2 linked regions of the Coturnix japonica genome follow. The protein of the gene in region 1 purifies or fractionates together with the protein of each later gene. This does not show direct contact. Links are inferred from orthologs where the notes say so. Each region holds a gene or a part of one and is shown on either strand. Other genes may lie near its edges. The genes, in order: HNF1A and PCBD2.

Evidence for each region.
Region 2: the proteins of HNF1A (region 1) and PCBD2 purify together in Homo sapiens (affinity purification with mass spectrometry; 4 studies listed by BioGRID and IntAct, with this or other methods). This does not show direct contact. The link is inferred for Coturnix japonica from reciprocal best matches to the Homo sapiens genes HNF1A and PCBD2.

The regions. Positions count from the first base shown.
Region 1 is NC_029530.1:8,069,286-8,076,137, reverse strand, and holds part of HNF1A (hepatocyte nuclear factor 1-alpha), read left to right. Parts: exon of another isoform or gene 1-701; intron 702-740; coding exon of another isoform or gene 741-785; exon of another isoform or gene 786-1,111; intron 1,112-3,920; coding exon 3,921-4,120; intron 4,121-4,973; coding exon 4,974-5,160; intron 5,161-5,439; coding exon 5,440-5,678; intron 5,679-5,829; coding exon 5,830-5,987; intron 5,988-6,852. Other genes in the region: SPPL3 (signal peptide peptidase-like 3), read right to left, coding at 741-785. UniProt on the Homo sapiens protein: Transcriptional activator that regulates the tissue specific expression of multiple genes, especially in pancreatic islet cells and in liver. Binds to the inverted palindrome 5'-GTTAATNATTAAC-3'.
Region 2 is NC_029528.1:2,499,200-2,505,989, reverse strand, and holds the end of PCBD2 (pterin-4-alpha-carbinolamine dehydratase 2), read right to left. Parts: intron 4,607-6,790; coding exon 4,526-4,606; intron 3,828-4,525; coding exon 3,732-3,827; 3' UTR 3,727-3,731; intron 2,913-3,726; 3' UTR 2,714-2,912; downstream 1-2,713.

The sequences.
Region 1 (6,852 bases):
ACAAGAAAGCCCTTGTGGGTTTCTGCTAGACTTTCTGGGTGATGGAAAGGAAAAGTGACGGCACCAAGAGACCCAATATATCCTCACAGGACCACTGAAGTTGGAAGTGCAGTTTCAGAAGCACTGAACAAAGCCGAGTGATCTAGGAGTTCAACAAGAGACATCCACGCAACTGGGATCCTATGGGCATCTATTACATTTTGTCCCTGCCGAAAACGACTGATAAAGGCAATTCAGACTAAAGCTTCTCTAGAGAGAAACTGACATGTTATCATTTCATCCCTAAATGTCTCATTGATCCTCCACAAATCTGCAATCTGAGCAAATCTAGATCACTATACGGACAGAAAGAACGGCCTGGTATTACCTACAGAAGGCAAGAGACAGGCATCCTTGGGAGCAGGGACAGACTGTGTTACTACACATCCGGAGGATGGCAAGAGCTATAGCAGCAGTTCACCTGAAGGGCAAGAAGCAAAATTCCATTAGGAAAGAGAGAAACTGAGATAAGCAACAGGTTTCCCCTAGAGGCAGGGTCAAAAGCATGATTTCCTTGAGACAAAAAAAATAGCCATGTGATGATAAAGAGTCAATATCTTCCTCATGTAAACTGTCTTCATGCAGCCGTAACTGGGGAATGCTGAGATGGAGCTGCCACACCCCTTTCATTTCCACATATAAACCAAGATAAAGTGAACCAGGCCAAGTTCATCAGAAAGGAGCCCTGCTGATGGTCTTACCTGCCCTGCTCTCTGCCCAGCACGGCTCCAGGTGTGCACTGGCATCAGTGAGGGTTGTCTAGCAGGCTCCAGAGGAAAGGGGCAGAGCACAGTGCTGAGAACTTCACAGCTCTGAACCTCTGCTTAAGTGAGCTCTGGTCCAAACAGCAATTCCGAGCCTACGAAGGATTCTCTTGCCTGAGAATTTGAGAACAAGAAAGAAGGAAAGGAGAAATGGGGGGGAGGGAAGGGAAAAACAGGGGGGGAAGAAAGGAAGGGAAGAAAAAGAGAAAGAAAGGAACAAAGGAAAAAGAAGAAAAGTCAAGAAGAGTGAAGGAAGGAGAATGTCCCCTGAATGTTACATCTCCAGCTCTCTGGAATGGGTTTTCTTTAATGCTAACAACTTGATATTTACTTTCCATTTAAATTTGAGATGTTGCTATAAATTATCAACCAGCCTCTTGTTCCCTTTGAGTTTATAACTAACTACCTGGGTTACTTATTGTTCAGGTAACAAAAGGGAGGTGAAAACGCCCTTAAAAAGTGACCTCAAAACTAAGAAAAAGGGAAGCTGGAATGGAAAGAAGACCCAGGCCCCTGTGGCTGGGATGAGTCAGGGAAAGAGGCCGTGCTCAGAAGCAGGAAGAAGCTGAAATCAGGACAGCAAGATTTGGGAAATAAGCATTGTGTAGGAAGAACTTCCAGGAAGAACTTAACATCTCTAAAACAAGAATGGGATGAGGGGTAGCTTCTGTTTGGGAAGAACGAAGATAAAAAGGCAGGAAATGTGCTTGTAGGTAGAAGAAAGCTTGACTGAGGCACACCCAGTTCTAACTCACTGTGGAAGTGAGATTTTAGCACACCTACAACAGGAAAACTGACAGTCAGTGACAGTCCTACCACTGGTGAAGGAATTAAGGTTTACTTTATGATCTGTGTGACAACACTGCAGACTCTGCAGGTGGAACCGAGCATCTGGGCAGGTGCTCATCTCAGGGATCAGCTGAGCAGCTGCCATTGCTTGTTTTGTGATGTAGTCCAGGGCCAAAATAAATTGCTGCGCTGGTATTACAGCCTGTGTTTTGATGGTGTACAGAGTAGCTTGGATTACATGCAACTACCTTATGAAATTATACTGTGGTAAGAATTCCCTGCAGTGCTTTCCCTTACAGAACTCTCTCTGCTTTGTCTCAATACAAAACAAACAAACAGAAAAGAAAGCACAAGGCTTTGAACTACAGTGAAAAAGAGACGCTCAGATTATTCCCGCTTTGTTCCTACCACAAAGAAGTGAGGATCTTGACAGGGGAGACAGAAGCGACTCGCCATCAGCCTGCAGGAAGGAAATCAATATGTAACAGTGGTTTCCATCAGTAATGACACAGTCCTTCCTTTCCCCATCTGAGCCAGAACTCAGATCTAAGGGAAGAGATTGCAAGTCTCAGCCTTTTCTCTTATGTGCAGGAACAAATGCAAGGCACATGTGCTGGCTAGACTATAACACAAATACAGAGGGAAGAACAACACTAAAGATGGAATAGCTCTGTACATCCAGCCCAATTTGAGGCTTCTGAAAAGATGAAGATAGTTAAGAGAAGAGGCCAGAAGACTGAAGCCTCTGTAGCAAGTGTACCATCATAAAAGAGAAGCAAATGGTCCTATTTTAAGAAAGCAGGTTCTTCAGAGAACCATAACCATCTCTGCTTCTGCCATACTTTAACTGCAGCAGAGCTTGCTCCTTGGACTACCCAGCCACTGTGAAAGGCTGCGAGGGGAACAGAGATAAGGGTATTTGCACTGAGAGAACAGGTGTGGACTTTGTCCTGCTTATCACTTTGCAGCCTCTGGCAACCTACTGAATCAACAAAGCCGCCAACAGTACAGCTGTTGCCAGTCGCTCAGATCTCTGTATTCTTGCAACACATCACCCACAATATTAGACATATTTTTTCATCTCTGCTGCTCCTTTGATGCTGGTGTTAGATGCAGCACCGCTGTATTTCTACAGTGCACAAACCTTCTCCATCAGACATCCTGCATACAAAACACAGAAGGATGCTTTGTTAAAACTGAACCAGAATCTTCTCCATAGGGAGACTCCTGAGTTGACTGGTTCTAGGCTGCATGTTTTCCAATCTTTCTATTTTTACTGTAGTTTTCAGTCTCAGTGAAACTGACAAACACAAAGAAGCTGCAGTCAAAGTCACATTCTCTATTCTCACAAATTCATAGAAAGCCTCAGGTTGGAAGGGGCCTTAAAGGTCATCTAGCTTTAGCTCTCCTGCTGTGGGCAAGGTACCTATTAGATCAGAGCCCCATCCAACCTGGCACTGAACACCTCCTTAGGAACAGTTGTGGATATTCTAATTAGAGGTCTTAGTCAGAGATTCACGTTCATTATAAAATCCCAAATCAGATTAGCTTCAAGTTTTCCACCAGCTGTTATCCCAAAGGAGGGTGGCAATTAATAGGTTGCCTGTTCTTTATAGCATGTAGGAGTCTGAGTGGATCTAGATGTTAATCAGTATGTTCACATAATGCAAAGCTGATGCACAAAATCATAATGCCAGATTGCTTGCTGTATACATATTACATGCATAGCTGTCCTGTGACAGTATGATGAAAGCCTGTTTTCATAGCCTGAATCACTGCCATGTTTCTCATCCCTGACAAGATTTAGGGCATGAGCTAGGTTCAGCATAGTAACACAGTGAATCTGTCCTGGAAAAATGAATTACACCTGTCCCAAGCACTTATGCCTTAAAGAAAGAGGACAGAGAAGAAAAGGTTTGTAGAGAATGGCAAGATAGTTGTCAACTCTGAAAAATAGATATCTGTAGTCATAACACATCCAGCTGAATGCTGAGATACAGTGCAACTCTCTCCCTATGGCATTATTCACTAGCAGCAAAAAACGCCTTATTACTTCCCAGCAGAATGGGATGTACATTCCTTGTCCGTGTCACTTGTCAGCACCTTCTGTCATTTGCAGATGACTGTTGCCTGAACGGAGCTTTGTATTTTTATACAAAGCCTTGTATAAAAATAAGATGGCAAAGACTGCAGCCACGTTTTGGAAAGTTCCCCCAGTAGCCACAGATGGCTCCTTCTAAGTGGATATCAAAGTGCCTTGCAATGCAGGTCTGCAGAGTGCAGGTGTTACTGACAGCTCCCCTGAGAAGTGTTTTCTGCTCCTTCTAGAGAGGATCCCTGGCGGGTAGCAAAGATGGTGAAATCCTACCTCCAGCAGCACAACATCCCTCAGCGCGAGGTGGTGGACACTACTGGTCTGAACCAATCCCACCTCTCACAGCACCTCAACAAGGGCACTCCCATGAAGACCCAAAAAAGGGCAGCCCTCTACACCTGGTATGTCCGCAAGCAGCGAGAGGTGGCCCAGCGTAAGTACAGCAGCAATTGTTCTCCACTCTCAAACTTCATAACAGCCTCTGCTCTCCTTGCTAACCCCTACTGCCCATTTCTATCAGGGGCAAAAAGGCAGAAAAAGCAATTTCTGGAGGAACCCAACTGCACATGGAAAAACACTTCATCACAAAACAGCCTGCAGTTCCCGCTCCACCCATCACTTCCCTAAAGAGATGCAACATTATTCATTTGCCATTAGAGTTGGAAATCCATACTCAGACTAAAGCAGCGTACCTGACACATCACAGACATTTCTGTCTGAGCACTGGGCTGGTACAAATTTCAGCTAAAGCAGCAGTTCCCTTAGCTGCAAAAAGCAGCAATCTATTGTACTTGCTGTAACAAACCACTGTAACAAACAAATCACATCTTGCTCCAGGCCCTCTATATACAGACATCCACTGGTAACCCATCACTGCAGCATGCACCTCTGAATTTAGGAATCCACCTGGAATACATCAATTAACTTTGTATTTACGAGTTGCAAGTAAAATGAGACAGCCTGGGTGTGGGTCGTTCTAGAGAGCAGGACCCCAGTCACACTTACTCTCAAGCCTCCCACATCTGTTTTCACTTCCCCAAGGAGAGAGCTGAGGTGCAATGCATGCAAGAGAAAGGGTGGTCGGTCAACACAGTCCTGCTAGGAATATCTTGATTGTTTTAGCAGATTAAGGAACTTTATTTTTACCCTGTCTAGATTCAAGCCTCTGTTTTGTATGATGTTTTTCTCCAAGAGTAAGCTCTTACCAGGCCTGCTGTGAGAAAAACAGATCTAACTGCTGAAAATGCTTCCAGAAAAATGAACTCTCTTGCCCTTTGTGCCTGCAGAGTTCACACATGCTGGTCAGGGGATCTTGACAGAGGAGCCCATGGGAGACGATCTGCCCACCAAGAAGGGACGAAGAAACCGCTTTAAGTGGGGGCCGGCCTCCCAACAGATTCTGTTCCAAGCCTATGAGAGACAAAAGAACCCCAGCAAAGAAGAGAGAGAGGCACTAGTAGAAGAGTGCAACAGGTAAAGAAGGGTGCCTGGCTCTGAAGAAGCTGAGTCTTTGCATCCTCGGTGTGCTAAGGCCCACATGAGGGTTGTGGCATCAGCCACATTTGCATGACACGCTACCACCAAACATTCCCCTTTTGCTAAGGAAGCAGCAATGCCCCATTGTCTTGCTGTACCCAGCAGGACCCTTCCCCATGGTGTATAAGAACACAGCCACTTTGGGGCTGCACACTTACTCCTGCCTTTTGACCAAGGCAGATTCAGCAGAACTCTTGTTGTGCTCTCTCCTAACAGAGCAGAGTGTATCCAGAGAGGCGTTTCCCCATCTCAGGCCCAGGGTCTGGGCTCAAACCTGGTGACCGAGGTGCGAGTGTACAACTGGTTTGCCAACCGCAGGAAGGAGGAGGCTTTCCGGCACAAACTGGCCATGGACAACTTCAGCAGCCCGCAGCCCACCTCTGCTCCCCCCCTCACACCTCACAACTCTTCCTCCCTTCAGCCACCTCCTGCTCTTTCACCCACCAAAGTTCACGGTAAGAAAAAACCAGGGGGAGATCTGAAAGGGAGACAGCAAACCTGCCCCCTTTGACCTAAAAGTCCAGAGATGAGCGCCCACAAATGAAACTGAGCTCAGCACTTGGTGAAGTGTCTCAGTTTTAACAGTTCCCTCCCACTGTGATACAGGAGTGAGGTACAACCAGCAGCCAGCCAGTGAGGCAGAGTCCTCCAGCAGCAACCACCACGGGAACAGCTCCATGGTGACCACCCAAACCATCCTGCATCAGGTTTCTCCCCCTGGGCTGGAGCCCAGCCAGAACCTACTGAGCACAGACACCAAGCTGGTAAGTGATGTACACCCAAGTACTGGTGACCAGAGGGTGGTCACAGGATAGACACTACAGAAATGGTATTTCCTAGAATCCTTTAAAGCAACCTTATTACACATACAGGACAACCACCTTGCATTGACTTTGCAATATGAGAAGTTGGGATTACTGTGTACTCCAGACTGATGGGAAGGGGAGGCATTAGGACATGAAAGCACAGGCATTTCTTTAATACTAATCTAAACAATCTGCTGTGGAAAAACAGAACAACCAACAACAAAAGAACACAGCTCAAAGTATGATACGGTTTGATTGCCTTCCTCCCAGCAGGCTCTTATCTCCCTTTCCCCTGCCACACTCATCACCTCTGCCACTTGAACACCGCACATCTCAAAGCAGTTGATCAGACACCAATGAGATGTCTACATTGCAGCAACCCACCTTCCTCAAAGCAAGTTTCCTTCTGAGAGGTGTTTTTATTGTGTCTTTTTCTTTTTTAAACAATAGCTCTTTCTACTTAACTAGCAATTGAGCATTAGAGCAACATGGCTGGTCATCTTCAGTTTGCACACCTCCCCTTGCTAGCAGGGGATCTGTTGGCAGAAGTTTGCATTAGTGCCTATTGGCCCGAGGCAAAGCTAAGTTCCCTGTAGATCAGTTTGATTAAATCTCTGTAGTCACTCACTCACTTTGCTGGTTTTCTGTTTTCTCCTCAATGAGAAAAGTCTTTCCTGAGATGCTGAAAGTCTTCTAAAGCCGTCTTCTAGAACTGGAATTTGACTGACAATTTGCCCCACCGTGTAACCTGGTGGTGCTTGCTCTTACTAATAAATTCTTACAGATTTTTTTTTCTGAGGGGGAAAGAAAAAGTACAGTATAA
Region 2 (6,790 bases), on another chromosome or scaffold:
TGCCACGGATGTGCCATCGTCCTGGGGAGGAACGAGGCTGCATCTGTCCCCTCGTGGTGTGCTACCATGTCTCACCATGAAAAGGGCGCTCAGCTTCAGCTGGTAGAAGCAGTTGATCTCCACAGCCTGGAGAGTGGTGTTGGTGGAGGTGATGAGTGGAGGTGATGAGTGCCATCAGCCTTTTGGACTTGGTGCTGTCGAGCAGTTTGCACAGGGAGGCACAGAGCTTGGGATCCCTTCTGCCAGAAACAAGGGGAGAGCTGGAGGGGCTGAGCAACGAGGAGAGTTGAGAACAAGCAGCACCAATGGGCCCAGCTGCCCCCAGAGCTGCTGGATGGGATGAGGTGCCCCTGGCCATCCATCTTGCCTGTGGACATGCTGGGCAGGTGCAGCTGAATCCTGGTTCAGGTTCTCCTCCAGCTGCTGGCCCAGGACCAGCAGCTCCCACAGAAACAGCTTCTGGAGGATGAACCCGACCAACACACACACACTAACTCCAGCCTACAAGGAGCTTGCTCCATGCATACCTGAACTGGAAGAAGTGAGTGTTATCTTGTAGTTACACCACATAGAGAATAGGAGAATTTCATAAGAAAATTGGAGGTGGGTCACCCTCCCTGGGTAAAGCCTGGATGCTCCATTGCACATCATGGCACAGCAGGTGCCGGGATCTGCTGCTTGATGTCATCACTCTGTGAGGTCACCTCCAGCTGAGGAAACCCCACTACTGCAGGATAAACCGAAACTCTGCACTACAACAACAGAGGCTGGTGATTCTTAATTGAGTTTGCATTACTGAGCAGTTTAGGCAAACCATGCCTGTTTTGGCTAAAGATTAATGGAAATTATTGGCAAGGCTGCTTTTAATGCAGCCCTGCAGTAGGGGACAGACCCCAAAGGCACCAACAGCCCTCCCACGGGCTCTGCCTCCACTGGCCACTGGCATGTAAGTGCTTAAGCACTTCTGTGCCTCCATATCTGCCCGAGCCTGAAGCAGGGCTGATACCAGCTCAATGAGTAGCTTCATCACAGCACAGAGCTTCCCCTTGCACTGCTGTAGCTCCGTGTCCTGCAGCCCAGCCTGGCTCTCACAGAGCACTGCTGGCAGCCGTGCCTGGACTGCCTCCAAAGTCCGTTTGCAAGTGAGTTGTCAGCTCCTCACCAAAGGGTCCAACTCTGCAACAGATCTTCAGCACGAGCAGCACTTACATAAACACAGCCTTTGATGTCAGCGGGAGAACTCACATCCATGTTTGCTTTCTGCTGCTTTTTTTTTTCTTGAGAGAAAAGAGAAAGGGAATGAGCAATTGTTAATGGATTTCAATTTGTCAGCATTGCTGTGCCTGCTAGCCTGGCTGCTCCGTGAGCGCTTCTTCCAGGACACACATATGTTTGGCTCATCCTGAGCTGCAGCTTTGCTCAAGCCACGAATATTTGTTGCTTGGCGCAACCAATTGTGAAAAACTGAACCTAGCTCACGCTGAGGATCTCATTAGCTTCAGTTAATTGGCAACTGGCTCATTAACCTGAGGCTGAAAAAGCCAGAGGATGTGCACACACCTACCAGCTCAGAGCTTACAAAATTGATGTTGTAGGCTCAAGGTGCAGAAAGGGACGAGGAGGAGCCCTAGTGCTGGATGGGAGGTCACCTCCTGCTGCACTGGGTGTGCATCCTGCAGTTTACTGGAGCTGGGCTCCCACTCTGGGGATAGGATAACGGACCAGCCCTGTTCCTGAGCAGTCCTTGGGGCTGTCAGGACCTGAGCAGCAATCCCCAGCTAGGAGTGCACTGCAGGCATCCCTCATCCTCTGCATTCCCAGCCCTGTGTGTTTGGCTTTTAATTTCCTGTGGCTGCAGATCAGTGTTGCAGGGACTGCACTTCCCAGTGGCTGCAGGGTGGGTCGGTGGGGAGAGTGTGGTGCTGCTGCCATCAAACCTACCCAAAGAGAAGCTGATCAGCAGGGAAAGCTGTGAGTTGGGCAGTTGCTGGAGCCCACCTGCTGCATGGAGCCGGGCAGCTCCTGAGATGCCATCACCTGGAGAAGCCCCAGTGCTTAGTCCAGCTACTTCTGTTCAGAGCAGAGCCAGTGATGCTCCTTGCAATGCAGCCTCAGGCTGGGATTTCCTGGCTGGGATCCCATACCTGTCACTGAATCCATACTGTATAAATTACCCACAAAGCTCCAGCTTGGTCAGGGAGCCCTGAACAGTGCCCCAGCATCCTGCCCTCACCTACATGGGTGGAGGAGAGCTGAGGGGATGCAGGAGAAGGCAATGGAGCTGGGTGGCTCCGCCTGGCTCCCAGTATGGATTCACAGAACCACAGGATGGGGGTGAGAGACGTTGCAGGGATGAGGAGCTCGCTGGGGGTTCCCCACATAATTGGGCTGCAGCTCAGAAATGCCCCAGTAATAAACAGCTGAACAAGCACTGACCTGGAGAACACACTGCTGTGAGTGTTTTGAAGCCATGCTCCTCCTCTTGGGCTGGTTCTGCTCCTTCCTCAGGCTGGGAGCTGCGACGTATGGTGGCTGCACAGCTCTGTGCCATACGGACAGCGGCGTCCAGGGAGAAATTAGCTGGTGGGGATTTTTTCCTCCGAGTATGTAAATAAATATCAACACTTTAAACCAAAGACCACCCAGCGACTAAATATTATTTATCTTCAAACTAAACAGCTTTGTCACATATGTATAATAATAAAGAAACAAATTACAAAGGAGGAATTTGATTTTATTGGCTTGATGCAAAGCGTTGGCATTCTGTATCAATTTCTAACAGCAGAGTTTGCACCATTCATTGCAGACACCATCCAAACTTTGGGTGAGACTCGTTTCATTCCTCCACCAGGAACTGGAGACATCACAGCCCGACTTGAAGCTGAAATCCACCACTCCAGTGGGGAAAGGCACTATGAAGCAAAGAACATTGGAGCACGTTGCTTGAATCCAGGTCTTCCTTAGGTTTTAATATCAATATCCATCAGCACCAGTAAAGCCCAACACCTCCCATCTTGCCTCCTGCCACCAATTAGCACGTGATACTGCACTTGCTAAGCATTAACAAAAACACCATTCCTATTTTACCGACAGCAGTATCTGCATTTCAGCTACTGGCATTTTGCATCCCAAATAGCTGACAGACCACACACTGCACACACACCCAGAATAGACCCTGGCAGCTGCTGCCCCTCAGTGTATGTCTCAGTTCCCAGCCGTGCCCTCGGTGACCCCCAGCCGCGCTGCAGGCATTTCACAGGGGTCACTCTGCCAGTGCTGCACCCGAGGGGCTCGCAGGGCACACAGGGACTGGCAGCCACAAGAAGGGTGAGCATAGCTCCAGCTGAGCCCAGCTTAGCAAGAATCCTGCTAATGCTGCTTCCCTCACTGCCGGCACCTGGCCAGGCTCCTCTTCCCCTCTTGCAGGTACGAGCAGAGCTAACAGCTCCATCCTCCACCCAGCACTACACCCAGAGTTTTATTAACAGCACCGGGAGCTGAGACCTGGTGCTATTTGCTGAAGCAGCAAGGGGGATATGGAAGTCAGCACTGAAACTGGTGAGCACAGGCTCACAGGAGTCTCTCAGATAAAAGCCTTAAAGACAAACAAAGCTATGCCACTCTTTATAGAATACTTTGTCCCTTCAGGGGGGCTGTGAAATCAGAGTTACAGTGAATGAGGGACACCATTCAAAATACAAGGCAGTGCCTTAAAATGCTGTATACCTGCTTCATACGGAGGCAGCAGCCTTGTCAATGAACTGAGCCAGATTCAAGTCTCTCTTGGTCAGCCCGCCGCAGTCGTGGGAAATGAGGGTGATCTGAACCTGCCAAGAAGGAGCAGCAAGGTGTTACAAGGACGGTGTCCCATGGGGAAGCCATGTCTGCCCACCCACAGCTCCTCCAGGTGTATCTATGGGACAGCATGGATCTGCCAATACTGCAACACAATGCAGTGAGAAGCACCAGGAAATCAAAATGATGGGGAGCAGTGGTTCCCCCCCCCTCACACAGCACCTTTCTTCCAAGGGTTGCAGAGTGCATTCTAACCTCTGTAATAGTAAGACCAGCAGCAGCCAGGCAATGTTATACACAAGTTTTATAAGCTGCTATACTGAGACATGGGCTGGGGATGTTTAACAAATCCCAGTTTAGGCTGCCATCCAGGTACCTGCACGTTGCACAGACAGAAGTGAGAGCTGGTGGGCACTCAGAGGTTCCAGCACAGCCACTCACACAGGCTGCCTACAGAAGAGGTTTAAGGCTTCTGCTCTTAGCTCTCAGCCAGCAAGGCAAAGTGCCAGCCCCAAGCCACACGGCAAGCAGCTGCAAACAGCCGGATGTCTGGTGCCAGCTCACTGCTACCAATCACAGTATCTCTTTAAAGTCCCACATCTCTAGAGAAAGACACATCACCTCCCCATTCCCTCTGCTCCTCCACTGCACACAAACCACAGGAAGGGCACAGAGGACGGGCCAGTGCTTTGGTGTGTGTGTGTGTAACTCAGGCTGGTGGGCACGTTACCTTGCTGTAGACGTTGAACCATTCCGGGTGGTGATTCATCTTCTCTGCCTGTAGAGCAACTCGTGTCATAAATCCAAACGCCTAAGGGAGAAAGAACAGAGAGGAAAGCCTTCCTCCATCTGCTGGGATGTAGATGGCAGATGTTCTGGCAGCTGATCTGCAAGATTCAATCTGAAATCTCAGAACCTGCTGGAGAAATGTTTTTGGTCCTTGAGCCACCAAAGCGCTTCCTGACCTCACTGAAATCCTCCCCTTTGAGTCCTGGTGAATCACTGCTCAGTGTTACTTGCTCCAGGATTCAAAGCTGTTGCACAGGAACAATGATTTTACCCTTGGCACCCAAAAATGGTTTTTAACATCCATCCCAGCAGCCCTCACCCTCACTACATCTTTGCCAATGTGCTGTTTCCATCTAGGGCCCATGCCACAATATTCCCATACTGGACAGATACCATTCGCAGAAACACATCTCCTCACGTAACTATTTTGCTATTTATTTTACTTGGGGGGAGAAAGGAGGCAGGTGGCTTTGCCTCTCTGCTTTATGAGGAAATATTTTACCTTAAGTGAGTTAAAATGGGTTTCCCAATCCTCTGCCCCTATATTCTGCACAGGACTTTCCCCCAGGATGCAGGTTTTATCACGGGCTCAAGAAGAAAATAATAGCATGCCCTTGCCAAAATGCTTAAGAGCAAATCACTGCATTATAAAGAAAATGAGAATGTCCATGTAAATCAAGAATGCAATTATGCAGCAGGGTCCAAAGGGCCTCAGTGCGTGTGCAGAACGCCTCCAAGCCAACGGGCTCTATTCAAGCTGCGCTCCATCCATCAGGGTTGGGACCTAAATTAACATGCAAAGCAAAAGTAACATCCACGGTATAGTCTGGTTTGTATTAGAATGCAACGATCTCGACAAAGGCCTATCTGATTTAGGTAAGTTTTTAGCACTCATTTATGGAAGAGAATGTATATAGCCTGCATTCCACCAAGCGATGGCCGCTTCAAACAAACATGTGGTCAATGAATAACATATAATGGCTGATAATAGTTTCAGTCTTTTTTCCTCTCACAAATTACAAAAACCTTTAAGGAAAAGAAAAAAAAAAACCAGCATCGGTGCCTGGATGAAGTATGACTTTGTTACTCGCTTTGCCAGCCCAATGAATGCAAACGTTATAATCAGAGAAAATCATTCCAATGAGGCTTGTCATTTGGAAATCACCAAACTGTCAGCAATTAAAAAGCTTTTTTCCTTGACCCAAGAGCATTCCAAAATTCGGGAAATCCAACTTCCCTTGAAGCTCTCATTTGGTTTCATTTTCCTCGGAGCGAACAATTACTGTTAAAAGATGGCCCATGTTCCAGCAGCACGCGGTGCACAAAGCGGTACGATGTACATCAGCAACCAAATGCATCTGCATTAAAAGCTCTGAAACACTGCATTCAATAGCTCTGAGACTGCCCAGGGTCACAACAAGAATCAAACGAGACTCTATTAAGATTGAGGTCTTAGGGAATCTATTGACAACCCATACATTTCCACAGCAGCCTATACAGAGAGAAATTAAGACAGCATTGCAACCACTAATGCATTGCCTTTGTAGAAAGAACAGCAGAAAGAAAGCCAGATTAAACCTATGGAAAGCCCCACCAGGGTCTGTGCGTCCATCCAAGCAGCTCTGACATACAGACATACCTGGGTTATTGGGACTGGGGTAGCCCAAAGCCCACAAGGGATTCCCAAGCACACTGTGCACCCACACTCGTGCCCATGCCCCGCTGCTCTCCCTGACTGCAAACTGCTGAAGCCCCTCACTTTTGTGTACCAGCTCGTTTCAGTTACACACAAAATAGAAGCATCTCCCGCTAAGAAAATGAGCTACAGTTCCACCAAGCAATTTCACCAACGCAATCTCCATTACGGTCCTAAATACTTCCTCTGCTAATTAAATGAATTGGAATGCTATTGTTTGGAAATCGCCTTGATATTTGTAGAGCCGTAACCTCTCTTTGAGAAAATACAATTGGCTCTGCTAGGAAAAGATATTTAGACTTGATTAGATATGAAAACACTATTACATAAAATCAGTTTGGACATTTCTTCACGTCTTGAAACTTGATCGGTAATTTGGTCTAATTGGTGATCAAGGAAACTATCTTGTGATCAATTAAAGTAATTACCACATTCCGGCAACACAACCAACCTTAATTTGAGCAGGAGTCTGCACTTCTTCAACTTTAATTAAAAATAATGAAAATTATT